Linked DNA regions of Styela clava. The protein of the gene in region 2 interacts with the protein of the main gene of each other region in a biochemical or structural test. Links are inferred from orthologs where the notes say so. Each region holds a gene or a part of one and is shown on either strand. Other genes may lie near its edges.

What was found.
Region 1: the proteins of mini-chromosome maintenance complex-binding protein-like (region 2) and DNA replication licensing factor mcm5-A-like form a complex in vitro, tested with the Homo sapiens proteins (2 studies listed by BioGRID). The link is inferred for Styela clava from reciprocal best matches to the Homo sapiens genes MCMBP and MCM5.

The regions. Positions count from the first base shown.
Region 1 is NC_135255.1:15,595,679-15,611,642, reverse strand, and holds the start of DNA replication licensing factor mcm5-A-like, read left to right. Parts: upstream 1-9,894; 5' UTR 9,895-10,019; coding exon 10,020-10,198; intron 10,199-10,877; coding exon 10,878-11,004; intron 11,005-11,610; coding exon 11,611-11,739; intron 11,740-12,056; coding exon 12,057-12,229; intron 12,230-12,518; coding exon 12,519-12,636; intron 12,637-13,253; coding exon 13,254-13,385; intron 13,386-13,952; coding exon 13,953-14,163; intron 14,164-14,643; coding exon 14,644-14,804; intron 14,805-15,075; coding exon 15,076-15,144; intron 15,145-15,395; coding exon 15,396-15,536; intron 15,537-15,964. Other genes in the region: neuroligin-4, Y-linked-like, read right to left, coding at 35-391, 7,169-7,417, 8,057-8,107, 8,254-8,311. UniProt on the Homo sapiens protein: Acts as a component of the MCM2-7 complex (MCM complex) which is the replicative helicase essential for 'once per cell cycle' DNA replication initiation and elongation in eukaryotic cells.
Region 2 is NC_135258.1:12,522,019-12,537,704, forward strand, and holds the start of mini-chromosome maintenance complex-binding protein-like, read right to left. Parts: upstream 8,760-15,686; 5' UTR 8,637-8,759; coding exon 8,579-8,636; intron 6,589-8,578; coding exon 6,506-6,588; intron 6,000-6,505; coding exon 5,859-5,999; intron 5,410-5,858; coding exon 5,371-5,409; intron 5,004-5,370; coding exon 4,902-5,003; intron 4,513-4,901; coding exon 4,401-4,512; intron 3,872-4,400; coding exon 3,803-3,871; intron 3,491-3,802; coding exon 3,384-3,490; intron 2,841-3,383; coding exon 2,753-2,840; intron 2,169-2,752; coding exon 2,022-2,168; intron 1,726-2,021; coding exon 1,608-1,725; intron 1,425-1,607; coding exon 1,304-1,424; intron 723-1,303; coding exon 540-722; intron 201-539; coding exon 72-200; intron 1-71. UniProt on the Homo sapiens protein: Associated component of the MCM complex that acts as a regulator of DNA replication.

The DNA.
Region 1 (15,964 bases), on a different chromosome or scaffold from region 2:
TCAGATATTGAAGTTATAATTTTTTTTAGATTACTTGCTGCATAAGTGAATTCCTCTCCCTGAAAAGCAATGATGACGGGAAGATCTGTGTGGAACAGGAGTTCGTCTTTAGCTGCCCATGTTGTTGTGGTCTCAGCGCTCGTAGTAGATGCTACTCTTTCCTCCGATGGTGGTACTTCGCTATGATGCACCTCTTCCCCAGAAGCAACATATTCATCGTATTCCATATGCTCCCCAGATCCAGAACCACTTTCCCATTCTACGTCGCGCTTTTTGCGGTAAGACTCAATAGGAGTTTGTTGTGACGTCACAAAGACGGTTCGTCGGAGCGGAACGTAAACATCAAGATACAAGCAATCTTCACTGTATTTATGGCCATTTTCATAATAATCTGAATATAGAAAAAAATTCTTAGACACGAAAAAAACATATCGTTTTACAATACTGTTGTTTGTTACTGTTGTTTGAGGATATTGTTATCGTAGTTGTTAGGAAAATTGTTTTCCGCGTCATTGCGTTTATTTTTTTCTTAGGTTTAATTCGACGGGAACCGACATTTCATCCATTTTTAACTTTATTAAACTTGAGTAATACAATTGTACTTCCTATAGGCGTCGTCTAAACAATAGTCAAAAAAGGCACACTGGCTTACTTGCTTTTTGGAGTGGGCCTAGTTTTGCATTGAATTTGGAGAGAAGCGGCCTCAAGCTTTTTCAAATAAGACTATAATGCAAGAACTCCCAACTAACGTTTTAGTGATACAGTACATGAACGGTAATTTTCAAAGAACAACTCACGATACATTTACGCCATTTCTTACGAATTGTTATAAATACGTATTTCAAACAAATATAATGTTCGTACAGATTTTATATTTTCAATATGGATGTACAAGGACTCCGTCACTTCACTTATACTAAATTCTTATTCAATACTAGGGCTGGGAATTTTAGAGAAAACACTTTAACCGTTAACCGGGTAAAATTAACCGGTTAACCGCCGCGTGACGTTTGACGTAATAATTATAATTTCAGCTTGTTACGTCACAATGGTTATAAAGCAATTTCGCGTGGTCCTATCCCGGTATCGCTCAAAATTATTCACCAATCGAGATAGTTTCATGATTCCTCTGCTGCAAAAGATAGGCATCGTGGTACGGGCATGTGGAAATATTTTAGAAAACCCTATTCCGTTGTTAAACTCATTTATGTGACAAATTTTTAGTGTTCGATGTGCAAATTCTACTTCGAGATATATATATCATAAGAAAAACGCCATCAACTGCACACTTGTTGTATGATTTTGCAATGAAATCGTGAACAACATATTTCGAAATCGACCGAAAACTGATTCTGAATTTATCATTGTAAATTTTCATTATCAGCAACCTTGGTGCTTCGCCAGTGGCGGCGCGTCAATAGGGCCAACCGGGGCAATGCCCCGGTTGTTTTTTCGGTATAATAAAAAATATTCGAAAAATACCTCAATATCGATTGCACAGACTGTCTACACTAGCCATATTCTCCCGACATGGTTCATTTTTCGCTCGCAAAGCCTTCGCCGAACGTCGACGGGGCGACGCCGATTTTGCCCTGGTTGCTAATTGTATATCGTATTCTCTCTTTTATCTTCCACTCGCCACGTTTGTCTCGTTTGTTTTCTGTTTCTTTTACTAAATCATCGGGGCTAGCCCCGAAATTATGACGACACAATGCTGACGTTTCTTACAACAACGTGTTGACATATTCACGCATAACTTCTCGTTCGTTGGTTGCTTGAAGAGTTGATAGTTTCTTCGCCTCCGTTTTTGTCGCTTGTTTCGCTATTTGAATCAGTTAGAGACCTTTAGTCCATTTGCTTTCGATTTTCCACATTCCTTTTGAGCTCCTCACTTCTTTCCGGCTTCGCATTTCTTAGCCTTAGACCTCATAATGAATAAGGTTGATGCACTACTTCGCACTCCGTTTTCGCAGCTGCCGCTGGAACAAAAATTAGAGGTACAACGTCCTGGGCCTTATCAACCAAAAAATTGTTCACTGGAACAATCCCATGACGGAGGAAAGCGTCGGCGTACATTCTGCGCAGAAACTTGGTATAAAAAAACACGAATGGTTGTGTTACAGCGAGGACAAAAATGCACTTTTTTGTTTTTATTGCCTACTTTTTGCTACCGCCCGTGACTCACGTTGGTGTAAATTTGGTTTTAGAGATCTTAAACATCTTTCCGAGCGTGCCAGGGATCATCAATCTTCTATGGAGCATCTGGACAATGCAGTAAAATACCGAACATTCGGAAATGTTAATATTGCAGCACAGTTGGATGAAGGACGCGCGGTTTCTATTCGTCGGCATAACCAAAACGTCGAGAAAAACCGCCATGTTCTCGGTCGATTGATAGATGTTTCATTGGTTCATAGAAGTTCATTGGTTGTCACGAGCTGTCCCTCCGTGGACACGATGAACGAGCTGGCTCTTCTAGTAGAGGGGTATTTTTGGATATGGTGGAATACACCGCATCCCTAGATACAGTATTGAGAGATCATCTTGATGCCGCAACTGTTTCGAAAGGGACATCTAAGGATATCCAAAATGATTTGCTCGACTCAATGTATAAAATTTATTTACAACATTTGGCTCTGGAAATTGAGAATTGCCAGTTCCTTTCGATTCAGTCTGACGAGACAACTGACATCACGTGCGTTTCCCAACTGGCTGTGATTTTTCGGTTTGTGAAAGATGGTAAACCTACCGAGAGATTTCACAGCTTTGTACCAATCGTTGATCGCACGGCTTGCGGGATATCGTCTGTACTGAAAGAAGTGTTACAGCCTTACAACGCGAAGTCAAAATTGATAGCTCAAACTTATGACGGCGCGGCAGTCATGAGTGGGTCGAAACATGGTGTTCAAGTTTATATAAAAGAAGATTTTCCTCATGCGCATTTTTTACATTGTTATGCACACCAATTTAACCTCGTTATTAAAAATATGTGTCTTGATACCCCTCTCGTCCGTATATTTTTTGCAAATGTTTCGGGGTTTTCTTCATTTTTTTCCGTTTCCCCGAAGCGCTCTGACCTCCTTCGCCAGATATGTATCCGCCGTCTCCCAGCGTGTGCACCAACACGTTGGAACTTCCAATCACGCGTGGTGCAGGGCGTGTCCGAAATTAGGTCTGAGCTCATTGAGTGTTTCAATGGCATTCAGAGCTCTCCGGTTTGGGACGAACGCTCTGTGAGGGAGGCGGCAGGTCTAAAGCGTCTGCTAGAACAGGGGTTCTCAAACTTTTGATGTCGTGGAGCCCTTGAAATTGTTGACTATTATTCACGGAGCCCCAAAATAAATGTTAAAATTGTAACTTCCAGATTTATATTCTTGAGCAAGTTAAAAGTACTTTACTCAATTTAAATGCTGAACCTTTTTTAATAGAGTTAATACAAGCCATAAATATATCTAAATTTCAAACATAAATTATATATACTAAAGCTGTAAATTTGACACTTGACAAACATACTAATAAATTCGGGTTCGAGTCTTTTCCCTTTTGACATTTTTGGAAGACTTAAAAGGCCGCTAATAATGTGCGCGATTGCATTTTGTTACAATCGCCGATTTTTTCCTCAGCATGGCGGCGTGTATTTGAACCTACAATCTTTACACCGGTGTTTATTCTCCCTAAATCCAAAATTGCCCTCGGCATATATATACATGTATTGTTACACAATGACGACGTTCATTGCTTTTTTGTTCTCGTGGGGAATTATGAGTTCAATGTGAAAAATATGTTACCATTTTATAGTCATCGGCGACGAACTGCTGAAAATAATAATTAATGAAGAGGTAGATCCGCAACTCAAATTTCTCGATTGAAAAGCGGCATTCCAAAATATTAAAACTTAAAATGAAAGTTCACACGTTTGGTTTCAGCAGACTCACCTCAGATTGAAAACGCTTTTATAGACATAGTAAATCACAAAATTTGCTGTTATGTTAGATTTTCATCGTAGTAACTGCGAAATCGTCATTTGTGCGTGCGTCAATTGTGCGTGCGATGTACCTTTTTTACCCATTTTGAAACTGCCGACGGAGCCGCACGCAATCAATTGTGCGCGCGATCCGCGATGTATCTTTTTTCATTCTGAAACTACCAACGTAGCCGAATGCAATAAAATAAATTTCATTTGTTCGTATTTTGCCCAGACATTGTGATTTTTTAAACGGCGATATCTTGCTTAATAATAATCTCAAGTACGGAAGAACAAATCAAGTTTGACAAATCCCAAGATCGCAAATATACGACTCCAATTTATTTATAGTTGGCAGTTTATCACATATTTTATGTTATTAGAATAGTATTCTTTCATTTTAGTAATCCTAATAGTAATCTCGAATCAAAGGTGAATAAAGATGAGCACAATTACATTATAACAATGAGACACTTTAAATGCTCGCATCGGTCATGGATTGAATATTTTACGCAACAGAAATCTCTTCATCCGTTTTTTAATCGCGAATGTTGCGCAGAAATTGAACCACCTCTCTCTTAAGAATCCTGGCTGCGCTCCTGCTTATAGATAATGTCATTTTTTAATTCCGTCTCTTTGCCATATTTCGAGGCTATATTGTTGTTAGATTTTATCAAAGCTGTTATTTCTTCTTTGAACAATTACAAAATTAGTCAGTATTTTGAAAAGTAATCGAATAGCTCGCGGAGCCCCTGGGTTTCTCTCGCGGAGCCCTGGGGCTCCGTACGGAGCACTTTGAGAACCTATGTGCTAGAAGATGGTCAGTTTTCATTTTTTCTCGCTTTTTTCCTCACAATATTCTATCACGTGGATGTATTATACGGCGCATTGCAGTCAAGGCTAATGGAGGGAGCGTCTGTGCAGTCGTGTATTTCAGACTTCTGCGATGCTGTATCTCGTATCCGGGAAACAATAAAATACGACGACACATGGAGTGCTTCTTTACGCCGCGGGCAAACAACGCAGCGTTTGATTTTGTCTGCAAAGGAATGCTGTGACATTCTGGTGAATCAAATAGGCGATCGTCTGCGCACTGAACACCTTGCCGCGTTCTCTTTGATGAACCCCAAAAATGTTTCAAAATTTGCACGTCAATTTCCCATCCATTTGTTGGCTACTGTCTCCAAATTTTTCCCCATGATAAACGTGGGTAAATTGGAAAATGAATTGCGATGTATATACACCAATCAAACTTTTTTGAACATCACATCAACTTGCGCGCTCTATGGGTTCCTCATAGATAACACTCTAGTAACTACCTTTGCGGCGTCTGCAAAATTTCTGGACATCATTTTAACGACGCCTATTTCTTCCGCCGACGCAGAGCGAACATTCAGCACGCTGAAGCGTATTAAAACGTATCTCAGAAACACAATGAAGCAAGATAGATTAAATTCCTTGGCTGTTTTATCCATTCACAGAGACGTTATTTCTGGGATGCATGACTTTAATCAGCGCGTTATTGAGCATTTTGCTTCCAAGAAACCGCGGCGTGTTGCATATATGTTCAAGCAGTAGAAGTCTAGCAGCATATATATCTATGAGTGAGCGACGCATGTCCTTATCTTTGCATTAGCTTTCCTTTCTTCATAGTAACGTTTTAAACCTTATTTTAGGTTTTGTCTGCTTTCCCGAAGTTTCTGTTAATATGTCATTGTATTTATCTGGGTAAATATTGCCTTTCCTTTTGAAAGAGGTTTCAAAATAAACTATGTCTATATTTATTAATCCCTTGACTTGGACCGGTTTTAAAGACACTTATCGTTAAAAATTGTCGCTTTTGCCGATTGGTTGTTACCGATGGAATGGTTTTTATACTCATAAAATGATGGGAGAACTTACAGCGCTCATCCTGTCCCCGTAGATGGGGGTGACTTGGTCCCGCAGTAGCTTGCCCCGGTTGTCAAAATGACCACGCGCCGCCACTGGTGCTTCCATTATTTTTCACATTTATTGATTCCTTACCCACACAGTTAGTAATATTTTTTTGAATTAAACGCCGCAAGAGATAAATTTGCGATGACGTAATCATATTTGACGATATTGTGCGGTATGAAGATGGTTTGTACCTGAGATGTCAGTTAACGGTTAAAATAAAAAATAACCGTTAGCCATCTGAAATCGGTTAACCGGTTAACCATTCCCAGTCCTATTCAATACTTATACACAGAAAGCGCTTGTTTTCGAACATTATATTATACTATAAATAAGCTATTTCAATAAATATAAGGCTCGAACAATAAGGCTCGATCATATTTATAACCATTATATATGTATGATTCGGTACTCTACTCTTCGGTACTATATGTATATATATATATATTCTGGTAATTTGTAACCGCCTGCCGTAACTTGAGAAGCACAGATTTCATTTTTATTTGAACTCAAAGGTAAGTTATTGAAATTCAGAGATCCATAACAGACGATTTTAAAGTTATTTTTCCAACGTATTAAGATTAGGGTGTGCCGAATTAGTAAATCTTGCCCATCCGGCTGATTTGTACTCATTGAAGTGAGACATTATCAGAAGGCGACGATGTCGCTTGAGATAAGTAGGCTACCATAAATGCGCGGAATCCCTTGTTTGTCTTTAAACATTCGAAATTGAAATTGGCTCATATTGCAATAAATTCTGCAATTGAGTTTACACGATGCAATCATTTACTTATTGTGGCCATGCTGGAGTCGAAATCTATAAAAGATATCAAATTTATGCGAGGTTACGCAAATTTTTTTTTTATTGCTGAATTGAATCAACGATAAATAATAGTTTTATTCCCTCCATTGGAGTTTACAAAATGAGTAGGCTACATTTACATGTGATATAAGTGGGTCGGACACCCTGAAAATTTAATATGGGTGTTAAAGCTATAATTATATATATATGATTTAGATTCAGATATTTCATTTCTATCGTGCAAGAATCTGACGTCAAATGCGGCTTCTTGAAAGCTATGAAGATTTATGAAACTCTTTATAAACTTCTTGAGATTATATAATATATATATATATATATATTGGTATATATTAATGAGTGCGAAGAAGGCGCACAAAAACAATATCAATTGGATATTCAAAGTTTTATTCTGAACAATGTGAATGATTGTTCAATGTTGAACTTGTTTTAAATGAGAAAAATCGAACCTGCAGAGGGTTGAGGACATGAAGGACCAGTCGCATAGGCCGTCACATCTAATCCATCTATTTTGTCCAGCATAGTTGGTTTCTCAAATCTTTCTGCCGTAGCGTATTTTATTCCACGAAACATCGCGACGTTGTATTGAGATGTTCCGTAAAACCCTCCCATGTTGATGTTCTCTGATGGGTAGCCTAGAATTTCCACACCTCCGTCAAACTCAAAGGAATTGAACTTGGCTGCTGCTTTTAGCATATCTAAATATCCGAGTAAATATGAAACAATAATCAATGTTAATTAGTTACGCAAAAGTAAACAGTGAAAATAATACATAGCAAATAAATATAGCATACTTTTTGCAATCTATGGCTACGAATTTTTTTTATAGGTTCTGAAGTTTGGTACAACCAAAATATTAATTCTTAGAATGTCGTGATTATCAGCGAACTAGATTTGTTATTAGAACCGTAGGTTCGGAATGATTTTCTGAAATTACCTGTTTACAGTGAGCTCGATACAAAAAAGAAACTGTTCTAAATTTCGAATTCCCATCACTGACCGAAACCTATGTTTTCGCACTATGTTTGAAGTCTCGAAAAAAGTTTAAACAAGATACTGATCATGGCTCAGAACAGAAATTGTTAATTTGTGATTGTGAGATATATATTATTACACATATTTGGGCACTACTGGGTCATTGCGGTCACATATATATTATGCATATACATATCGAAATGTTGGGGAAAGGTGATGTATACTGATTGGAAATTGTGTAACCATTGTATTCATTATGTAGTTAAAAAATTTCAAATGATACTAGTTAATAAAGATAATAATTACATGATATCACATTAAACTATTAGTTTATTCAAATTTATTATTTTTATTCTGCCTACCTTCGTATGATACTTTAGGAGGTTCGATCAACATTGGATCAATGTCATTTGCTGTTAAAAAATAAAACCCGGGTGAGGTATAAAATATACATTGTAACAGTAAACAATAAAACAGCAGGGTAAGGGCGGGGAGGGGAGAAGGAGCATGAGAGAACAAGAAGGATTTGAAGTAAAAAAGTAATTAGAGCTATATATACCTGATATGAATGTACCGCACATCAGAATCACTGCAAGCAGCTTCGCAAATCCAGACATGATTTTTTTTATTTATAGCCAAATTATGGCAACTTTATTTTCTTCCTAAATCACAATCACAAAAAATATTTCGTCGATGGACAAATGATATAGCACACTCTTCAGAACAACGACAAAAAATGAAGTGGCTTAAGATTCCCTTTAATGAGGCCTAGATAGCGTGAGAGGATGAGTGTTTTACATAGAAGTTTAGCGCACCGTTACATGGGGGCGTAACAATAATCCTCAATGCTGATATGCTTATTCATGTGCACTCAATAGAGTATGTTGTCATATCAAATGAATGGAACTTGACCGTTAAATAATCTAATCGCGGTTGGGTGTTACTCCATGAAATAATAATAATGATAAACTCGTTGTCATAACAGTCCACTTACTGTCTAAAAGGGGTGTCATTTGCACTCGTTCAATATGTACATTGTTATATTCTGTTAATTTGTTTTTCGAGTGGGGAAAGACAATTACAATGATGTTTTGAGCTTTTTCACAAAACACGTTCAAAGGATTTAGCTGTACACAAATCTTTAATTGACCTGGCTAATTGGTAAATACACTCAAAAAACAATCCACGGAAATTTTGTGCTTTTCACACAAAAAACAAAGAAATTCTTTTTAAGAAATTAAAGCCCCAATTTTATTCTGTTAATGAAAGTATTTAATAACGAAAGCTATCTAAGGACAGAAACGGTTCGTGGCCCCTAAACACGTAACCCACTGAACCTATAACATAAACTGAAATGTTAGCTAACGGTATATGAATCCATGCTCAGACGAGACAGATTGTTTTTATAAACAAGAAGCATAAAGAGACAATGTATAACGTATAAGAAAAAGTTGAAATGATTTCGTTCGACAAAAAAAGAAATCGTATAAAATCAATATGTGATGTAAGGAACGAAAAGCAACATTTAATCGTGATTCGTGGGTACCAATTTTCCGCGTTGGCCGTTACCTATCTGAAATTCGCTGGCCTAGTTAAATTTTCACTCACAGCTAACTTTGCTATTTTGAACGAGCTTTTCGAAATATAACGATATGTGGTAAACGCTAGCTACGATCGTGAGTTGCATCAGAGATGACATTGCTGTGTTGCTATCACCAACAATATGGTGCAATAATATACAATATCATCATGAATTTTAACTTAAAAATAAATGAAACAGGAAAAAATACGTTATGTATCTAATGATGAAAAATACTGAGAAGGGGAGCTGCAGAAAATTTCACGTTTCATGACCTATAGGTGCTTTCATGAGCTTTTACGAGAGGGTATATCGTCGATCGCTCCTTGCTACAGATGTTACTAAACTTTGAAACTGACGTCATATTTGCTTTTTTTTCCCTACAATCACGACGTATTTGAAAATATGTGTCTTTATTAACAGTTAATTATAATATATTCACAAGAAGGAATGGTCCAATGAATTAACAGAACAAAAATTAACTGGCAATCTACTTTTACCATTTTATAGAAGGTGCAGAAATATTATATGACGAAGTGAAATTAAATGGCGACGGCTCTGTCTTCACGCATGTAGCTCTCGCGGTACGCTAAACACGTGACATCAACCCCGCGAAAAATCAAGGCCTCAGTTGTTCAGAGCCAAGACAGCTAGAGGATTGATTGTTTGTTGTGTTGTTTCGTAGGGCGTTTGTATTTTGTTTTTCATTTGGTATACTTATAGAGCATTATATTATCGTCTTGGTTATGGCTTCTATGACTGGTTTCGATGATCCTGGAGTTTTCTTCAGCGATAATTTTGGAGGTCAATCTGAGGATCAAACTGATAACAGACATGTTCAGAGAACGCTGATAAAAAAGAAATTGAGGGATTTCTTGAGAGAATTTCATGTTACAATTGAAGGCGGAGTCACCTATGCTTACAGGTATTATGATGAACATTTACCTTTTTGATGGGGTTACTAGAATATCTGAATATGTTATTCTGGTTATTACGGTATTTCATACAGACATAAGTTATGATAAATATGTAAATCCTATCCAAATGCTTGAATGCCTCAATCTTAAAGATTTTTTGCTTTATCACTTTTCTGTCTGTCTGTTTGTGCAATTGCAATACCGGTATTGTATTTGTTATGTAAACATTGAACAAGTACTAATTGTTAACACTCTGATACTGCATTGTAAACCTGCCATTTCTGCATTTACATTTGAAAGCTTAGTCATTGTAGCATTACCGACACCGTAATATAAAAAATTTTGCTAACATTCTAACATTTGTAATTAAGACTCGTAGCTGTATGCAGGTATGAGTAGATGGGTGAATTGGGTATTTATAACAGCCAGAATAAATGTATGTCCCATCCTCTAACTAAATCTTATCCTAATGCAGTAATGCAGTAATGACTGAATGATAAATGAAAATAGCTATTTGGATATAGGCATGGATCTATTTTACATTTGCAGATTTGATCAAATGAAAAAAATCAATTAAGTTATACTGAAATAACAAATTCCCAGTCATTTATCATGTCAATTAGTGATTAATACGGTTGTATGTCCTAATTTCTGCCACAGTCGGATTCAAATCTTTATTTGTTTCAGAGATCAACTAAAAAGAAATTACAATCTTGGAGAATATTGGGTCGAAGTTGATCTTGGTCACTTGGCGTCTTATGATGATGACTTAGCAGATTGTTTGATGAAACAACCCGTCGAATATCATCCTTTGGTATAAAAGATTTACTTAACTATTTCAATTTGGCAAATTAAAGATATAAAAAAAATATGAAACTGATGGCTATCATCTCACCTGGTGTAATAAATTCAGCATGCGATGCCAAACTGGGAAAAGTTTCCTCCTTCCAGAAAAGTACCTTTTTAAATAACGGTGGCCCAAATACATATGAAAACACTTAATTGTTTATCACTGCTCATTGTCAAGCAATAGTAAATTTTTAAAGACACATGACTGAGATGGGGCGTTTATATATAATATAGCCTACATTAATACTGTGTTCATTGAGAATCGAATTTTGATTTCAATCTTGACTCAATTATTAATATTTCCAATTTTTTCACATATTCACATTATCATACTAGCTAAAGTGAAAAAGCATCATTATAGGTTTCTTTAAACTTTGGACATCTTTAATAAAGCTGAGAATATTTAAACTTTGTCTTTCTCTTGAATGGCTGGAGGTAACAAGAATATGAGACTTAAGTTTAATGCAGCAATTTTGCTTATTATTTTTATTCTGTCAATTGTAGTTGATATCAAATTTAGAATACTATATTTTTTCTCATATATATCACTGTGTGTGTTCACCTTATTTAGTTTGAACAAGCTGCAAAGGAAATTGCTGATGAAGTCACTCGACCACGACCAGAGGGGGAAGAAGTTGTTCATGCGGTACAAGTACTTCTACAATCAACGGCAATTCCAACTTCTGTTCGAAGCTTGAAGGTATTGAAATATTGAGGTTTACTCAGCATGAACTCATATCAACAGCCTTTTTGAATATTTATAAAACTTTTTTAAGAGTTATGTCAAAGATATGAACAAAACTATGGGTTCAAACTAGACTCTTAATAAATTTTAAATTCAATAGATTTATTTAATCATCTTCATTAAATGTCATTATTCACTTATTGTTCTTCTCAGTATGTTTTCCACTACTTGAAAAGTATGACAATATTTGCTCTGTCTATCATGTTTTCAATCGATTGAAACTGTATATAATATTAGCTGTATTTTGACAACACTTTGTCATATCTTTGCAGGCTGACCAGATGTCAAAGCTTGTCAAAGTCCCAGGAATCATTGTTTCAGCGACAGCTATTCGAGCAAAAGCGATTAAACTTGGCCTCCAATGTCGATCATGTCGAGCCACAATAAATGATGTTATAGTGAAACCTGGTTTTGAAGGATATAGTTTACCAAGAAAATGCGTAACGTCAGTGAATATTTTAGTTATTGCATTTTTCTTTTTGATGCTATATATATGCCATTCGGTATTACCCTGTGATACAAAAGCTATGCTTTGGCGTCAATGTTTGATTGCTCATCATTCTTCTAACATTGGACTGGGATGGCATCCTATTCTACACTTTCCAAAGTTGGGAGTCTAAGTTCTCATATCTCAAAGTCTGAACGAATTGAAAGAAAATTAACTTAGAACTAGTTCATACTTTATTCATTAAATTTCAGTAGTTAGTAACTCATTTTCAATTTTTTTACATCAGCGAGGCACAAGGAAGAGAACCCTGTCCACTCGATCCATTTTTCATTGTTCCTGAGAAATGTGAATGTGTTGATTTTCAAACCTTGAAGCTTCAAGAAGCACCAGATGCCGTACCACAGGTGAATAAGCTAAAGCAGATAGTCTACAAGATACATATTTGATTATTATATTTTCTACACATTTATTTGTTCCACCATCACCACCTATTTCTTCAACAGCAGTCTGCCAAGAATAGTGTTTTTTCATTGCCTGTAACAGGTCAAACTAAAGACTACAGTAGGCCTGATTATATGTTTACCTATTAAGGCTATTCCGGCGAACCACAAGTATTTGATTACAGTTATAATCAATCATTTCGTAGGAAGTTAATCAAATTTTGATTCTTTAATCAGATTTATCTGTTGATTTATATCCAATTTCTGAAATTTTATGGGATAAAATTTTTATTATATATATGCAGTACATACAGTTGCTCCACTCAACATCTCAGTATCATAATTTTGAGTTACTCATGGACATGCAATCGAGAGTGCAAAGTAATTTCTAAAACCACTTCGTTATTTTCGAATTAATCTGACTCACACTGGACTGGGTTAAATGAACATGATATTAACAGCTAGTGTGTCTCGACTCTTTTTTTTCACAACCCTAAAAAACTAGGTAATTGTGAAATAGGCAATAATTTAGGCATCCGGTTAAATTAGAATGCAATTTTTTGTAAAACATATTTTTACAGGGTGAAATGCCAAGACACCTGCAACTATATATTGACCGCTACCTCTGTGACAAAGTTGTGCCAGGAAATAAAGTGACTGTGATTGGAATATATGCCATACGAGGATCATCTACAAGTGTATCATCAAAATCAGTAAGTTTGTGTCTGAATAAAATTTATTCAAAATGTGTAGTGTTTTTTTTTAACTATCAATGTAACAAATTCCCCAGAAATACCAATAACTTCCCGGTTTGGTAATAACTAATAAGTTTATAATAAGATCATTAGTACTGCATGGTTGGCAATGTCATTAAAGATTGGGTACTCCAGTAGTGTGTCTACCAGTCACCATGTTAGGGTTAGGCCATGATTTTATTCCGATTTTCCTTATTTTAGTTCTATTATGGATTCGTGGACTAACTGTGCTAGCCAAGTGAATATACCCTTTGACCATCGGCTTCAGTTCCTTTACATAACTTGATGTAAAGTAGGCGAACAAAGTTAGTTACGTCCATATTGGTACACACACATCCGGAGCGCTAAAGATTGTATATATTAATTCGTTTCTTATTGTCTTATTAAACCGGATCTGACCAGTTTAAGCTGGAATAATGTACTTACCGGTAAATAAGGATATATTTTAGTGTTTTCAATAAAAGCCAAAATCTGTTTTGTTCACTGCTCTTATTTTCAACCATTTATACCTCTTCACAATCATAGAAAAACATGAAAGCGAGAGGTGTTGGTGTCGGTATCAGGACACCATATCTTCGAGTGTTGGGTGTTGAGGCTACTGCTGGAGCAACTGGACACAAAATGGGGACTTCACTTACTGCTGAGGAAGAAGAAAATATCAGACGATTGACACAAAATCCCAACATATACGATGTTATCAGTCGGTCGATCGCTCCATCAATCTTCGGAAGTGATGGTAAGTTTGCACTTGTAATAAGAACAAGAAGGAATGTTATTTGTTCTTGTGATGCAAAAACTTTTAAATGTATCAGGAATAGGAAGCTTAGTCAGCTTTGTACATCCAGTACTAAATGATTTTTTGGAGTGTGTTTGGAGTATTTTCATTATTAGGCCTCAAGTATTTTGCTGACCTGTACTGAATTTGGGTTCTAGTCAACAATCCCGTAGTATGTGCAACAAGATGGCGGACACCTGAACATAGTATGTGTACCAGGTTAGGGTTATACCATAATTTTATTCCAATTTTTCTTATTTGAGTTCTGGTGTCCGCCATCTTGGTGCATATACTATGGGAGCGCTGAGTTTTTAATACTGAATCCTTTATCGTACTACCAATCTTGTTAAGTTTTCTAATCATTATAAAATAGTTACAATGAACCAAAACTGAAGAGGCCCATCTAGTTGTAAATTCTAACCATCATTTTTTTCATCATAGATATGAAGAAAGCCATAGCTTGTCTTCTGTTTGGTGGATCTCGTAAACGACTTCCTGATGGATTGACGAGAAGAGGAGATATAAACTTATTGATGTTAGGAGATCCTGGAACAGCTAAATCTCAGCTTCTGAAATTTGTGGAACAAGTATCACCTATTGCAGTAAGTTATAATCATTGTGATATCAGTATTTTTGTTGTAACTTGTATGCTCATCTGTTTTGATGAAATCGCCTTTATTTTGTTGACTGTTGCTAGGTGGTTTATTCCAACATACTAATGAGGATTAAGGGGAGAGGGAGATCCCAATTATAAATACGAATATCCTCGCATATAAGACGACCCCTTAAAAAAACAGCACTAAAACAGTGAATTCATAAAAATTTGCATTAAAGCCGACCCTACTCGCTCCTTTTAAAATTTCTTAATTCCAGGTCTACACGTCTGGAAAGGGAAGCAGTGCTGCAGGATTAACCGCTTCTGTAATAAAAGACCCGAGCACAGTGAGTTGCATAATCTATCACACCCCTGTTACTTTTTACTGGTTCGGTAAACATATTGAGTTTCAATCATGTGCGGTAAATTTGATCGCCAATTTGACTTGTGGAGTTGATTAATTTGAAATCTTTGTTTTGCAGATGTAATTATATATATATGTAAGCCATTGGACGGGTAATAATCCGACCGAATGTGATTATGTTGAATTGACTGTTATGTTTTCAGTAATCTACTATTTAATGTTTTTATTTTGCAGAGAAATTTTGTGATGGAAGGTGGTGCAATGGTTCTCGCAGATGGGGGTGTTGTATGCATTGATGAATTTGATAAAATGAGAGAGGATGATCGTGTTGCTATCCACGAAGCCATGGAACAGCAGACTATCTCCATTGCGAAGGTTGGAATGTATACGACATTATTTGCAACAATTGTTAATCATATTTACGCATAATTTCTATTTGATTGGTATTGCAAAATGTTTTAGTTTTATATCTAATATTATATGCTGGTTCGGTGTAGTTATTAGTTACTGAGAATTTTAACTTTATTATTTATCGATCTTGATCGGTAAGTATGTTGATAGGTATTTGTCTGTTTGTTTGTTTGTCTGATAGATACATGCAATATCTCACGAAAGCGAGGTTGAATCTGCTCCAAACTTTGCATATGCATTCATATCTCGGACCAGAAGCCTATTGATTTTGGATGAATTATGTCGTATAATTAGCGAGTTATTAATTAATAAGTGACGAAGAGATCTAGATTTTTGCAAAGCGAGAGAACGTGTATGACCTGGATTTTTTGAGGCGAGAGCGTGCATGTGCT
Region 2 (15,686 bases):
TTTTCCGAAAGTAGTACAGCATTACAGCTTGACAAAATTTCATAAACTACACAAAAATCTTTTTTTTATACCTGACAATCGCATGGTAGCATAGATTTTCCCTCAGATAAGATCAAGACATTGATATCACAATCAAATGATGCTTCATGAAATTGAAAATTGTAATCCACTTTTTGAAAAGTCAATACATTCTTGAGAGCCTGCAAGAAAATAGTTTTTGTCACAGTTATTTTATACACTCCCATGTCTTTGACTCCAAACAAGGCTCTACATAAGCAGGTACTCATGTGTACGAAACTACTATTTTTCATCAGGACCAGAATATCTTGTTCTGGATTGCCTCCCTAAGTTATTACATCCTGGGTAAGGTGGTGCATGGTTTGAACCCGAGATATTTAACCTGCAATGCAAACAGGTAAATTATATTCTACCTCAAGGCCATCACGTAGAAGTTTCATTCAGCACAAGGATTTAAAAATGTGCACAAATCCTATATACTTTGAATGTTTCATAAATGTTTTACTTTATATAATAGCTACCTGCACATTTTTCACTCCATTTGCATCCATGGTACCGGGTTTCAACATGGTTTCATCCAATACAAGATGTGTACCAGTTGATAATTGAAGTATTCCAGAATCTAATCTATTTGTTGAATAATTTTTCGTTGGTATGAACTTCCCTTCATTCAATTTATCAATTGACATAGGTAAGTAATAGAGCTAAAAATACAATGTTATATAATGGAATAAAATAGACCAAAATTTTAACGAAATTTTCAACATGATATGTTTTGATTGGTGTGCCAATGTGCAGCCGCGTGTTCCTTTCAAGCACAACAACTAACTAATTATAGATTACCGTATATCAAAATTGCAGTATATTGTTATATAATTTTCCGTTAATATTACCCGTTTCCCAATAAATCAAAAAAACATTTAAGTTATCACTATTCCTTAACATAGAAAGTTTTACACATGCGCACAAGTCAGATAATTCCCTGATAAAAGCAAAGTTTGATAATTATTTTTCATTTCTTATTTCCATTTCAATATTTTCATCACATAAAACCACATATAAAAGAATGTTTAACTCAGAGAGCAAGATGTCAATTTTGCATAACTCGAATCAGTCAAACAACGGCCTCATGGAGTCATGGTAGATCCATAGTGCAAAGCAGTATGACCACATTTGCCATGGTTCCACTGATCAGCCTGCGTGGGTTTATTGATTCGAATGCATTCTACCACAAACAAATAAAACTTTCTCACTATCAAGTAGAAAGATATGAAACAAAGCTTACCTTTGTCACTAAATCTTGTAAAAACTTGGACAAAATCCTAGGATATGTTGAATTTGGTGGAATACCAGAAATATTAAGTGAAAATTTACCTAAAGCAAGCATGTCTCGCCTGGAATACACCCTGAAATATGAATAAAAATGTACTCATTTTAGGGCGCAGTACAAATCTGAGGCAAAACTGATATTAGATTTAGCAGCCCCAAACTTACCATACTTTCTCAATTAAGCATGGGTTGAGTAAAAAGACACCAGAAAGCAATGGCAAAATTTGAGAAAAAAATGAAACGGTTATCATTCGACCAACCTTGAAATCAAGTGCAACAACAAATATTCAGCAGCAAGTGAATCACCCAACAAAGCTTTTTCAAGTAATCCCAAAAGACAACTACGAACGGTTGAGGCATCTTTCTGCATCTGAGATCCTGATAGAAGAATATATGATGGTAAACAGATATCTAAAATTAGAATTTTTTCAAAAGAATCAGCTCATTCGCACTCACTCAAAAGTCAAGAAGACTCTAGTAAAATTAGAATTTTTTCAAAAGAATCAGCTCATTCGCACTCACTCAAAAGTCAAGAAGACTCATGTCTGAGCAAACTTAGAGTTACCAAGATTAGGACTTGAAACAATTTTACTTTCATCAATTCTATCTACGTTGTCAACTTTACTCAGTCATGTTTTTTTCCAAATAGATGCGAGAAACAAATAGTATCATACTCTGTTCTGGGAGAATTTCCATAGGAAGAATAGGATTATCATGATTCAATCTCCTCATTGTTAAAGCATGTAGTCTTGGAACAATTGATGCTGGAGGATGATGGGCTTTCTTTTCTTCTGCATCTCCAACATCCATTTCACACATGCCTGGAATCGAACAAGGTGGTAAATATTAACAAAATTGTCAGAGACTTCAAAAATGAGCATGTACCTAAAAGTATAGAGCCTATTCAGTGCGACAGGCTCAGTAGAATAGAGGGAGGGGGATCAGAGCAGAGAAAGAAGTTTTTCTCACTCATTCGATGACTGAACATAGTATGTGTACCAGGTTATGGTTATCAGGTTGTGCGCCATTTTATTGCACATACTTCTTGAGCGCCCAGAATTATGTGCAGTTATGAGTCTCTTCGTATAAATAGAGTTACTTACCATAAATAATTCAAGCAATTATACATTAACAATTGTTCATGTGATCATTGCTGCATACTTGTGAATTTTTAAACATAGAAACTGATCAAAATCAAATTCAGCAAGCATCATCAGCAAGCTATAAGGTTTTCAATGATTGAAATTGCTGGCTTGGTCTAACCCAAATTCAAGTTTTTAAATTGCTAACCCGTGAGGTTTACATAGGCTTACCCTTGAGCTATAGTAACACTGATGCTTACACATAATATGTAAATCTTGTTCAATGAATGATAGTAAGAGTTATTCAATCACAAAAATCATACCATTTTCTTCATTCGTTTGTGCATCATAGATACTTGATAATTCAGGATCGACCGATAATACACCATAAAACTCTATGATTTCATTCACCTTAAAAAGAACAATACCAACATTCCGAATGCAAATTCAAATTGCTTTGACTGTAAACATTGCCAATGACGGTGGGTATCATTGTTCAATAAAAACAGTTTTTAAGCAGTTTTTAGGGTGCTCCCGAAGTATGCGAACCAAGATGGCGGACATCGGAACGTAACATGGGTAACAGGTTAGAGTTAAGCGATAATTTTTTTCCAATTTTCCTTATTTTAGTCCTATTATCAGTTTGAAGACTAGCCAAGAGCCTCCCGTAGTATTTATACCTAAAATTATGGCCTAACCCAAACCTAGCACACATATTACATTCCGATGTCCGTCATCTTGGTTCGCATACTTCGGGAGCCCCGTTTTTAGTTTCAATTTAGTTGCCAATATTCAGACCATTTCTGTCAAAATGCCTGTTGGGAAAAGTTAAGTATAAAGCAAGGCACTAAAATTCAACCGCTCTTATCAGAATTGATAATATAATTCTAACTTTTCTAAAAGCCTAGTAATACCTTTTACATTAATTTTAAAAATTCAATCTGATTTATTTACCTTAAAATCAGCTGATTCATCATAAACTTTTACGAGACAAACAGGACCGTTTTCATCAGGTAAAGGATGATTCTTGTTCAATGGTTCTGCAGCACTACTGCTCCTTCCTTGAAGTATAAAAGAAGAATACATAGATCAAATATGGAATCATGTTCAATATATTCACCGCCGATTTCTTATTCTCAAACAGATAACACAAATCATAGTAGTGGTTTTATAGGAAAAAAGTAATTTTAATAATCTGTATTCTAAGTTAAAATGAAATAACGAGTAGCATCAATTAGATATTTCAGTTTTAATTACTTTTTTACTTTAACTGAAAAGATTGACATCCTCGAAAAGAGATCACCAGACTCACCACCATGAATAATCACAAAGCACCAAGCAGAAATGATTCTAATTGAAGAAGAAAAGATTACCTGAATTAGCAGAAGGCTTGGCTCTCTTGTTGCTTCCAAAATCTCTATCACCTTGATCTTTATTGCCTTCTGAAATATCATCAAGATATATAATATTATATTTATACATGACCATTATTTTGTGCTAAGGCTTTTGATTCACAAATGGGAAGACATGGGACTGATGGGAGCATCAAAACATGTGGGTTTGACGATCTATTGGTTAGAACACTTGGCCTATATTGGTGCCGCAATTCAAAATGCTCGAATTCAAATCTCATGCCCGCCATTTCACCTAGGATGTGGTAAATTGAGCGAGAAGAACCGGAAATATTAGAGATATTATAAAAATAGTAGTTGCTTTTGTGTTAGGTGCTGTTTCTACAAAGCCCTGTTTCAGATTGAAAGTGTAAAAAACAAGTCCTTAAAAATTACCAAAAGGCATTTACCCCTTTTTATCATTTAGCCACAATCAGTTTATCAATTTCCTGAATAAGACAGCTTGAAGAGTATGCAATACTAAGTGTAGTGATTATAAAACCATTACATAATAAAAACTACATATGTTAAATTGAATCAAATCACAGGACCAAACAATTACATGTCAAAAACAGATTACCTTCAACAGTCATTGTGTCATCATCTTCATCACGGCTCCTTTTAATTGATTGTCCACTCGTACTTGGTTCTTCCTTGTTTGGTTTGGTTGAAGTGAACACTGACTTCCATGACTAGAAACAACAAATTTGTTGGGAATAGATAAAAATAGCATACAGAAGAGGCGCTCCAGAAGTATGTGTACCAATATGGAGATAAACAATTTTGTTCGCCTACTTCACATCAAGTGTGCAAAGGGACGGAAGCCTATGGGCAGGGGGTAAACAAACAGTTCCCGAACTCGTTATAGAACTAAAGGACATTCGGAATAAAATTATGGCCTAACCCTAACCTGGTACACATACTACGGAGGTAACCCAAAAAAGTTTTAAAAGGTATTGTTGCATCCTGAGCAATATCTAAAATTTTGAACAATTTCCATCATCAGAGTATTTGATCAAATGTGGATATTGCAATTTGTAAATGTCAGTAATATGAAAGCAGATCCAATGTTAAAATTCACCTCTTTAACCCAATCTGTCTCTGCAGGTATAGATACACAATATAGAATTTGTCTCATTCCTGTCTTGTTTTTATCTGAAGACATATCAATGTCATAATCACCCTGCAAAAAATAAAGGTAGAAACATCAGGTGATTGCAGGTCTAGCAAACATCAGTGTCAATTATAAGAATCCACGCACATATTGTCGCATAATAAATATAATATACTAAAGTTTAGATGACAATATTGTCAATTATTATTAAAAGCTGTCATATTGATAAAATCAATTTATGCCTCATCAATCGATTTGAAATACCTAAGTAAGAGTGTAGACAACCCATTTAAAAAACAACAGGACCAGACCCCATCAATGAATTAACATTAGCACTGTACTATAAACTAGCCTACTACCAACAGAGAGAAAAAAAACTTATTTGTAGAAACTGAACCTTCAATCAAATACCATATTGACATAATTTGATACTCACTGGTCCAATCAAGTCCTGGAAGCAACTGGTCTTCATCACCTAGACAAGCCAAACAAAAACAATATGAATGAATCATAGAGTTGATGATTCAATGCAAAAAATTTTATTATCATGCAAACTTATGTAAAAAATAAAAAATAAATTCATGCTTATACTAGAGGTAAATAGATAGGAATAGTTAGCTAATTTGATATGGTTTCATACAAAAATATCTGGTAATATTTCCAATATCTCAATGTTATCACTTATCAACTTAAGTAATGTTCAAGCTCTTATTTTAGATGCTACACTGTATTACAGAACCTTCATATTTATTCAGCAGATAGGATTGTTTATAAATTATAGGATAAAATAATCATAAGGCTACCATTTCCGCTTGTTCAGTTTCAAAAATCCCCTCGGACACGAATTATTCGTCACTGGATTTGTACCTCTGAACCCAGTCTGGGTAATTATGGTAGTGGATACCAGTTATTATTACAACTTACTGTTTCACCCTTCACTTTATCTGTGATATTGTAGGTTTCGAGAAAAAACTCATTGTCGAATGTGTCTTGCACCATACATCTGAATCTAACGAGACAGTTAGGCTGAATTTCATGAATCGGTTTGTCATTGAGAGAAGGAACCTAGAACAGTAGAAAGAGAAGCGTGCTAAAATTATCCAGTACTGTGTTAAATTTTTGTATCTAAGTAGTTTAAAATGAAGGCTACTGCAATCACATATGGAATGATAGTATATATAATATATCAAAAAAGTACAACAATATACTCTCTGATTCCAAATATATTGACCAAAATATCTGCTTTTCATACAGCGTAAATAAGACCAAGCGATCAAATGCTGAACTCTATTTTCAATTCATTAATCTGGAAGGTGTTGGGTGTTGGATCCAGGTAAGAACCATGGTTCGAATTTCAGAGATTTAGAAAATATTGATTCGGATTATGCAGTAGGCCTAATGAACAAAACAACCAACAAAAGCTTATATTACAGGTACCGGTATACTATTTGTCACATTTAAATGACTGCACAGACGGATAGATAAGCTATAACAATTACAAAATTATGAGTTAAACATGCTTGAAAATTAAACAAGTTTTCATATAAGACTACAACACTGCCATAACTCACCACTGATATATTTTCTTCATTACTCAAACGTGATTCAAAATATTTTGCAACTTCTGAGATCCAATCATCTTTACTGCGATTTTCTATAGATTTAAAACATCAGTAAACATTTGAGCGGCAAATATAACAGTGTTATGTAGATATTACAGTATTATTACTGTATTAGGGTATGTTATTCTTCAGATCTTGTTTGGTCTGTTGCTACCGTGTTTACCCGAAAATGGTACCTAGCCTGAATTTTCAATATGATATTAATATAAGCCCTCCCCTTAAAATAAGACCTAGTCGATAGCAAGAAATTTGTAATACATGTTTTGAATGAAATTTATTACGGTACCCTGGTACCGGTACGGCGGTACCCTGGTACCGGTACGGCGGTAGCCAGTTATTTGTTTTCAGACGCATGCCAGCATGGACTTGATAGTGGAGAAAGCCCTAACCAACCAGCGGTTACATGGACCAACCCTAAAAATTTCACATCACATTTCTGTTTGGCATTAATGAAGCAGTTTCAGCGGTAAATGCAAGTCACAATTTTGTTTGGTGCCATTTTATATAGTTACCGGTACCGTACGGCGTGTACCTACTTCGCTCAGTCGCTAGACCCAGTTACCAGGTTACGGTATCGTACCGTAAAAGCGCCTAACTTCGGACAAAATTACTATATTTTCGTCAATAACTCGGCCATTTATTGTCCAAACGGTGCCAAAATTGCTCGGTAAAACATTCGTGCGGTAATTTAGATTCCCTGCAAATTTCGGTTCAATTGGACTATTTTCACTATTGAAATAATCTATTTTTCTTGCCATCTGACCGTTATCATTCACTGCCCTAACTTCGGACAGTCATTTTCTTCACTGCGTAACCGCGACGCTCAGAGAGAGAGGCTTCCGATGCGGATGACGTAATCACGTCGTTGCGTGAAGATAAGACGCTCGATCGTCGTCGTAACGTAACATTAACGTCACGACGAAAATGCATTATTTGAAACTTCCGTCGTCCTATGTTTACATCTTTCGTTCGTTACGTCAGATAAGTATTACAACACGTTAGTCATTTTAATCAGGAAATACATACGTAAATATATCTGATGCAAACCGTTTCAATCCACAATGAAATATTTTAACGGGCTTCTATCGAAGTCTTTGAAGTATTAATATTCTCGACGGATAGCTTGGTTTATTCTGCGCGGTAATCTTTATAAGTGATAATTTATATCAAACACACGGTGAATCCGATTGTAAAGTTTAATTTAAAGTTCAACCTAATTTCGTTAACATATAAGTCCCGTTTATTTGTTGATTTTTAACTTCGAGTGAATAAAATTCACCCAGGCCGTATTCAAATAACTGTCATTTCGACTACTAATCATAAAATAATTGTTAAGTCAGTACACTGTGCCATACGGACGTTTGATTTTTTACAGTTTTATATATTCGATTTTTAACGTCATCGATTAAGTGTGACATGTATTTTTATTAATGTAATTTTGGCATATATTCACACATGGACCGAACAAAATACAAAAATATTACATTGGAATGCCGTCTTTATCTTAACGAAAATTGTCATATTGGCGCCGTTGTGTCTGGCGTCAAAATTCATTTCCGCGACGCAGTGTGACGTCGTGTCGGAAGTGAGCGAAAAATAATCTACGTGAGGTTGACGTAACTGTTGACGCTGCGTGAAATCTTAATATTCTTACGGAATTTATAATTCAGAATTTTAGGTTTTATTTAAATCTCGTACGACATCTTGCGATCACTCAAATAAATTATATACATTGTTATCGCCCTCTACCGAATGATGGTATTTTGACGATGATAGCTTTAGTAGGAGCGACGCTCTGCGCCGTTGAATGCCGGGCAGTCAATTTTCGGCAAAATTGCCGTTTTTGTACCAAAAAAATTATAATGCCACATTAAAAAGATGAGAATAGATGTAGATATAACAGCGCTACCTATAATATTTGAAATTAGCAATATATGCCCCGTTTTAGCCAAGATATGGCCGTTCAAAAATTTTGTCCGAAGTTAGGAACTGTCCGAAGTTAGGCGCTTTTACGGTACTCACCGAAAATATTTTGAACAATGCTTAACGGTTTCTTCTGCCAGTTCTCTATGCAAGGCATGATGTCGCAGGCTTCTTTAAGTTTACGGGTATGTCTTCGGCAAACACAGAATTAAGGGGAAGTCAGTAGGCTATTTCTGTACTCTGAGCGATGAACAATAATAACACGTGCCAAGTGGATGCATATCAACAACCAAACGGATTATAAAAAAATATATACAGGGAACCTTTTACCGCGCGAAATATCAATGTTGCCATTTCCTTGAGTAATATTCATGTTCCGTTAGGATTCATATAATGAATTTATTATTATATTTGTTGTATTTTTATGCAGGCTCATTTGTAATTTCATTAGAAAAAAGTTATACCTGATAGTTTTATTTAATCTCAAAAAAAAAATTGGAATGTGTGCGATAATTCAATAGTAACTATAGAACCTGGCAACAATAATCACATACATATGCCATTAAACATTCTACTCGCAGATTCATCTTTCATTTTCCTGGTCGTCTCGCGATGATAAAATCAATGCAACAGCTAACTTGTCCAACAATAATGGTATCCACATCGATTTAATTTGCAAAGACTGATGAATCATCCATGTTAAATTTGAACTCATCCTAGTAGTCGACAACCTCTATTATAATTTCGGGTCCAAAATTAATGTGAAAAGATGGGACCGCTGCACCTGTTGCAATTGTGGTCGTTCGTGGAAATTCGATATTGATGTTGGAAGCATTGGAACGGATACGATGATTTTAAATTGAACTTATCGAGAACGACAAAAGGACCCGATATCCCAATCCATGATTTGTGCATAGACTGCTATGGAACATTCAATCTATTTACCGAGCTTGTTTTTTAGTAACACTTTTTGTCACTGTGTTATTTCTGCAATGAAATTGAACTAGGCGCTCAGCATCACCATTTCACGTCAGCGAGTGTTTTTTATTCCATAGTTTTGTAGGAAAAGCACTGTTGTGTTACAAATACACGTCTCACATCCGTTTGTTGTTGTTTTGTTTCTATCAGAGTGACCAAATAAAATTAACTGATTGATGAATATGAAAACCTTGCTTCAACCTTTGATAACCTGTATATTCCCATAACTCATTCTCCTACCTCAGTACCACACTGCCCTATTTTATTTTATTTTTTAATTATAATTACATACACTGATTCACGATATGGGAAGAAATAAACTTGACTATGACTATATTTGATATAATATGGACTTGGTGAATTTGGCTTTGGTGAGTAAAGTGTAGCCCACCTCTTCATGCATCCAACTTAGCAATTTGGCTTTAGAAGACTCCAACTATAATCAGCTTGACGATATCTTTTCAGAATTTTTTTTCTACAATTTCACTCCTGTCAACTAAATCGGTATCCAGTTCGGCAATCCTTACAAAATTATTAATATATACGGTATATGGTAAGGCAAAAATTTTTTTTATTAATACATGTTTTTGTATATATATTTCTCTTTTTACCAAGTAATATATCTTGTGTCTTTTTTACTCTCGTCTGATATTATTTTGTCTGCATCATTGTATGTATGCGTGTCAAGAGTCTTGAGCAAACGCGTAGGCTACCACTTCTTTTGACAATACCTCAATAAAAAAATGTACGTTTTAAACCTTACTCAAGGTTTTGTTCGCCCTTCTGATTCCGTAATCGATTGTTTTTATCAAATATTTATCTGTTTTCATCAATTATTGTCTTATTACCGTCTTTCATCTGATTATGAAGTCAAAACAATCCTATACTCATAAACATTGATTCCATCGATCTGGAACCCAAAATAAGGACGACTGGAAAAATTCCTGCATTGTGAGCAGAAATAGCTTGCTTTCCTGGCCTTCAGGCTAATGTCACAATTACAGACGTCACAGTGTGCAAAGCACTCATCTATCAAGCCTCGTTTAACTTTGAATTTTTTCCTGTAGGCTACTCCTGTACTCACCAAAAACGTTCTTACATTTGCTCATTTTGAAATTTAGGCTAAAATAACCACCACCACCACGACAAAACGTAAGGATCGCCACACTAACAATGCTTCATGCCTATCTGTGCCTTGCTTTTTCGTGTTCCAAATAAGAATGTGTGCTTTTATGATGCCACAATAAATCTTTGGCGATAAAACAAACAACACAAAGCTTCCTTTATGATGTCCAAATAAGACAAAATAAAGACAAGCAAGCCAAATATAAGGGCGCAAGCTAAAAATAAGAATAAATCTCAGGAATAAGGACGGTGTGGATTCCCTGCTTATAAATCAAGTCTGTCGGTCACTTCTATCGTAGAACTTATAATGGCATTGCTGGTTATGAATTCTATCACCATTTTACGCCGATTACAATTTGTTCATTGTTTTAATATAGAAGAGTTTATATCATTCGCTGACACGTTAAAGCAGGGGTGGACAATTACTTTCCTGAGTGGGCCGGATGCGGATATTAGACTTGGTTACTGGGCCAGAGGATTTTTCCTTATCCTCGAAAATGCTCAATTGCCCAATTGTTGGGGCATTCACGAAAAAAAATTGCGGGCCTAAAGTTTTTGAATGGCATAAATAATTCGGATGAATGATTTTGCACATTATATTCAGGTGCTTTTTATGGACCTTTTCCAGACCCTTGACACCAAAAAATTCTCCCTATACTTTATTACTGCAAAAGTGTAGATGCCTATTTTTCAAGTGTTTTAAAGAGTTGACGCTTACAAACTGATTTACATGCTCAAACTCTCAATTTTATCAAAATATACAACCACGTGCCGCTTATACGTACTAATCGTTTTAGCCGAGTCTATCGCAGTTTTCCGGATACTAATTTTTGATTATTGCAACTAAACTGAAGCTAACTGAAAGACATGGTGACAATTAAAATACATCATTTACAACTAATTTTTGAAATCGCAACTAAAAACCGACAAATACCACGCAAAATCTCAAAAACTAGGCAATGTTTACAACCATGTTTTTATATCTGTCTGAGCAACTGCAGTGTCTAAGCGGCTGCAAAAATTTTAATTGTTACGTCATCGTAAACTTTTTGCTGCTTTGTCATTGTTACGGAAATAACCGAGGAAATCGATGGTCGGAGAAACGTCCATGCGTAGGGAATTAAGGTATTTACTTTAGCTGACGATCCGTTATCGATATTTTCGAAGGAATGTCAATTTATATCATCGATACCTTCAACGGAAATTTATATTCATACAAAAGCATAGTCATAATTTCAGCAGTCACAAGTGGGCCGGATGAAAACCCAGGTGGGCCGGATCCGGCCCGCAGGCCGTAATTTGCCCACCCATGCGTTAAATTATATACACATGTATAATTATTTGCGTATACTTTCAAACCAGAATAAATTCTAAATATCAGCTACTAGAATTTCAGTGACTACTCGACCCGGGCCTCGGGTGCATGTTGCGGATTTTCGCGTTGTGTCATTTACGGCAGAATAACCCAAATATTTTCATTGATTTGATACTGATTTATGGACGACATACAATGGATAGCCCTGAAAAAACTCAGAAGTACTAGACAATGAAAACTGCAACATTGAGTAAGTCTCCCAAATCAAACAGTGGATAAGCAGTGGCGGATTGCAACCCCTAAACGGCGAGTAAATTCAATTCACAGGCTATCCGAGTTTGAGAAGCAGCGCTCCCTAGTTTAAGGAGTCAAGTCCCGACTTGCAAAACGAGTCTCGAGTCATAAAAAAATCATAAACAACAGCGAAATCAATACTTATGAGTCACATTGACACTGTAAGTCTGAACTTTTTATTTCAAGAATCTAACTACTATTTAAGCTAGTAATCGAAAGTATTCACATCGGTATTATCACTTCCTATTTGTTGCTGTAACAATCTAATGAATTTCAATGACATCAATCGATGTAGAAAATCTTGCTTTTCCGGATTGGTTTCTCCAGGCTCACTAGCAATTTTTTTCGAGTCTTAAGGAAAATCTCCCAGGTGCTTAACCGAGTTCGAGACAAGCCATTACGTTCCCTTTACGAGGACATTGAAAACATGGCGCGAGTTTCCCCAAAACCAGTAGATAGTTGCTATCAGAGCTAATGAATACATACATACAAGAGAATTTTATTTCGCAAAACAACAAACTCCAACAAGCAAATATATGCAATACCGAACATAAAACTCACAGTTCGGATTAAATTATTTATGTTGGTCAGTTTACAAGGCCGGCGAAAGTCATCGAGGCTCCTGGCCCTCCAAGTTCAATGTATTTTGAACATTCATGTGGCAGTAAAAGAAGAAAAAAATACGGTAATAAAAATACGATGTAATTTAAATATTATGAAAACGATATGGATAAAATTGAGTCGACACTATTTCGAGACACATGGAAGATTTAATACTGTTGAGGTCATTTGATTAAAGTCGGTCAGTTAAAGAAAATATGGAAGTCATTTCAGATCAAAATAAGATTGACACAAATTCAACACAAAAATTGCTACTACAAAAACTATTACGTATTGCTTAGAAGGACACGACAATTATGTACTTTGTGATAGACTAATTAAGAGCCAGGGTTCAGTCAATCGATTCAGTAGAATGGAAGTACGCCGACGATTAGAGCGTCTTGTCCAAATTGAAAAAAGCTGATAGAGGATTGAAACAGGATTACGAGAGATAATTCAATCTTCAATATACTTGGAGGAGAACCTTATTCACCGAATAACAGATTTATATACATGTTACCCAAGTTATGGCATGTTATTATGAATAAAAAACATAGTTTTTCCATGTCAAGCTTCCTCTGTCTGTTGATTCCTTTGCCAAGGTCCCCAGCTGTTGTTACTGAAAACCTTCACATTCGCATATTTGAAAAAGTAAGCCGTCAGTGCAACGAGAACTGCCAGTGCCACCCATGGTAGACTCGTACTGTAAAATAGTATAGTTATGTTCATTTATTATCACTTGATTTGTATTCAATGTCTTATTTGTAATCGAGGTCATATTTATTACGCTGCACAACTTTGAAGTGATTGCGGCATAATATTTTTAAATAATTACCCCGACTAGAACGGTTAAAAACTGACTGATATGGGAAGAAGTATTTTTCACGCGTGGCTCATGTCATTGTATATAACAGGGATGGCGAACCTTTTTCAATGAATGGGTCAAAAATGGGTCGCGGAGCAGAAGAGAGTGGGTCACAGATATTTAATCAAAGTTTGATATCTGTAAGAAACTTCTGAAACAAATCTTATAAGCTTTTGTTGGTGTTGGTGTAGTTTTGGGCTTCACTTATGCAGCGCTTCTAGCAGGGACTTTTTATGGCACTCGATTTTATGAAATTATAGTACGAAAAAACGCATATAAATTACCAAAAATGTTAAGGATGATAAAGAAAATTATTTTACGGTTCCAAAGAGTTTGGAGGGAATTCCACTCTGATAGTGTTATATTTTTCGAACAGCTTTCAACCACATTAAAGCACTTTTACTCTTCCCCATCGTTATTTCAGATTTCTAAGTTTTTATTCCGAGTCTGAATGATTTTTTTTCAACGGTATTGTAGTCGAGAAACTAATAAAATGCAACTTAGTAGCATCTAGCTCTCGTATAACCCCCAAAACAGTCTGCAGATGCGCTTCCGAAAGAGACAAAATATTGCGAGAAATGAAAAGATCAATTGCGTTGTTATGTCAAAAACGATATCAGAGCCAATAGCTGAAAAACGGTACACAGCGGTGCAGACATGCGTCAAAGATTAGGGGTTTTGAAAATTACCATACCGACCAATAAATAATAATTTGAATATGAGCGATCGCAGCCCTGACTGCCCAACTGACGATACATTATAATAGTTCAAGTATTGTTAAATTAATTTAAGGTCGGTTTTATCAATTTTGAGTACTGATATGATAGCATTTTTTTTATTTTATTTGTGCATTGGCGGGTCACGAATAAAACTCGGTGGGTCACTTTGTGACCCGCGGGTCAGTGGTTCGCCATTCCTGGTATATAATATACTTACTGAAAAATTCCACAATCATGATCATCTTCCGTGCCACGTATTGTTTCATTTGTTGACATTGCTTCTTTTGATTTTAGTTTTTCAATTGTAAAGAATATTCAACGTATAAACGTGAAAGTTTTATGAAAATTTTAACCAAAAAAATATTACTGCGTACGAATAGAGGTAATAGTGTAGTTAATACAGTCTCAGCCTGCTAAATGTTGCATATCTCGCCTTTTCAACCAACATAGAACGGTTGAAACTATTAACAGTTTGTATATATATTATCTCTCCCGACGGACTTTGGTGACTTCTACAATTCTACATGTTTCGACAACTTCTGAAATTTTTGCAACATCCCTGCAGGCTACAGTCGTATAGGCGACTCTGATTATTCTGCGGAGTTAATAAGCCGAATCATGGATTATATGCATATCTATCCAGTTATTGACAATTAACAAAAAGTCGATAAAATGGCATCGTCAGTATGTATTCTTATATTCGCGTTGACAGGCGTTGCCAAAAATTGATAGTAAGTTTTGTAAGTAAGTTATTCTAATTTACTGGTCCAATGAACAATATAAAGGAACGTTATGACAGGTCGGATAAGGGCATTAATGCAAAGTTGAATAATGTTGTTTGGAAACTGATGTACATGATTAGTTTATGATAGGGGCAGTCAGCAGCAATCTAGTAACACGCCATGAAATATTCCATTATTAGACCCGAAAACGATTATTTCTCGCCAGCGGTCACGCAAACCACCAGCGGTCACACAAACCACCCTATGGCCGTTTAGCACAAATCAAGATGCATCCCGTGGATTTTTTTTTGTTAAATATCGAGTCTCATGGAACTCAGAGCAATGAGGTGAGGAGGTGTATACGTCAATGTTTAGAGCCCTGTTATTTTTGAATGAATGAACGAGGCTCGCCCGACCTTACTTCCATATGCCACTCTGCGACAGCGAGAAGTAAAAATGTACTTTCGTACTTGAAACTATTTTTGCGTGGTTAAATCGTGCTGGCGATTGAAATTGACGTCGAAATTTCCAAAAGAAAAAAGTATGTCTTATGTTTCAAATCTCATTTTAATTTTCGACAACCTTCCTG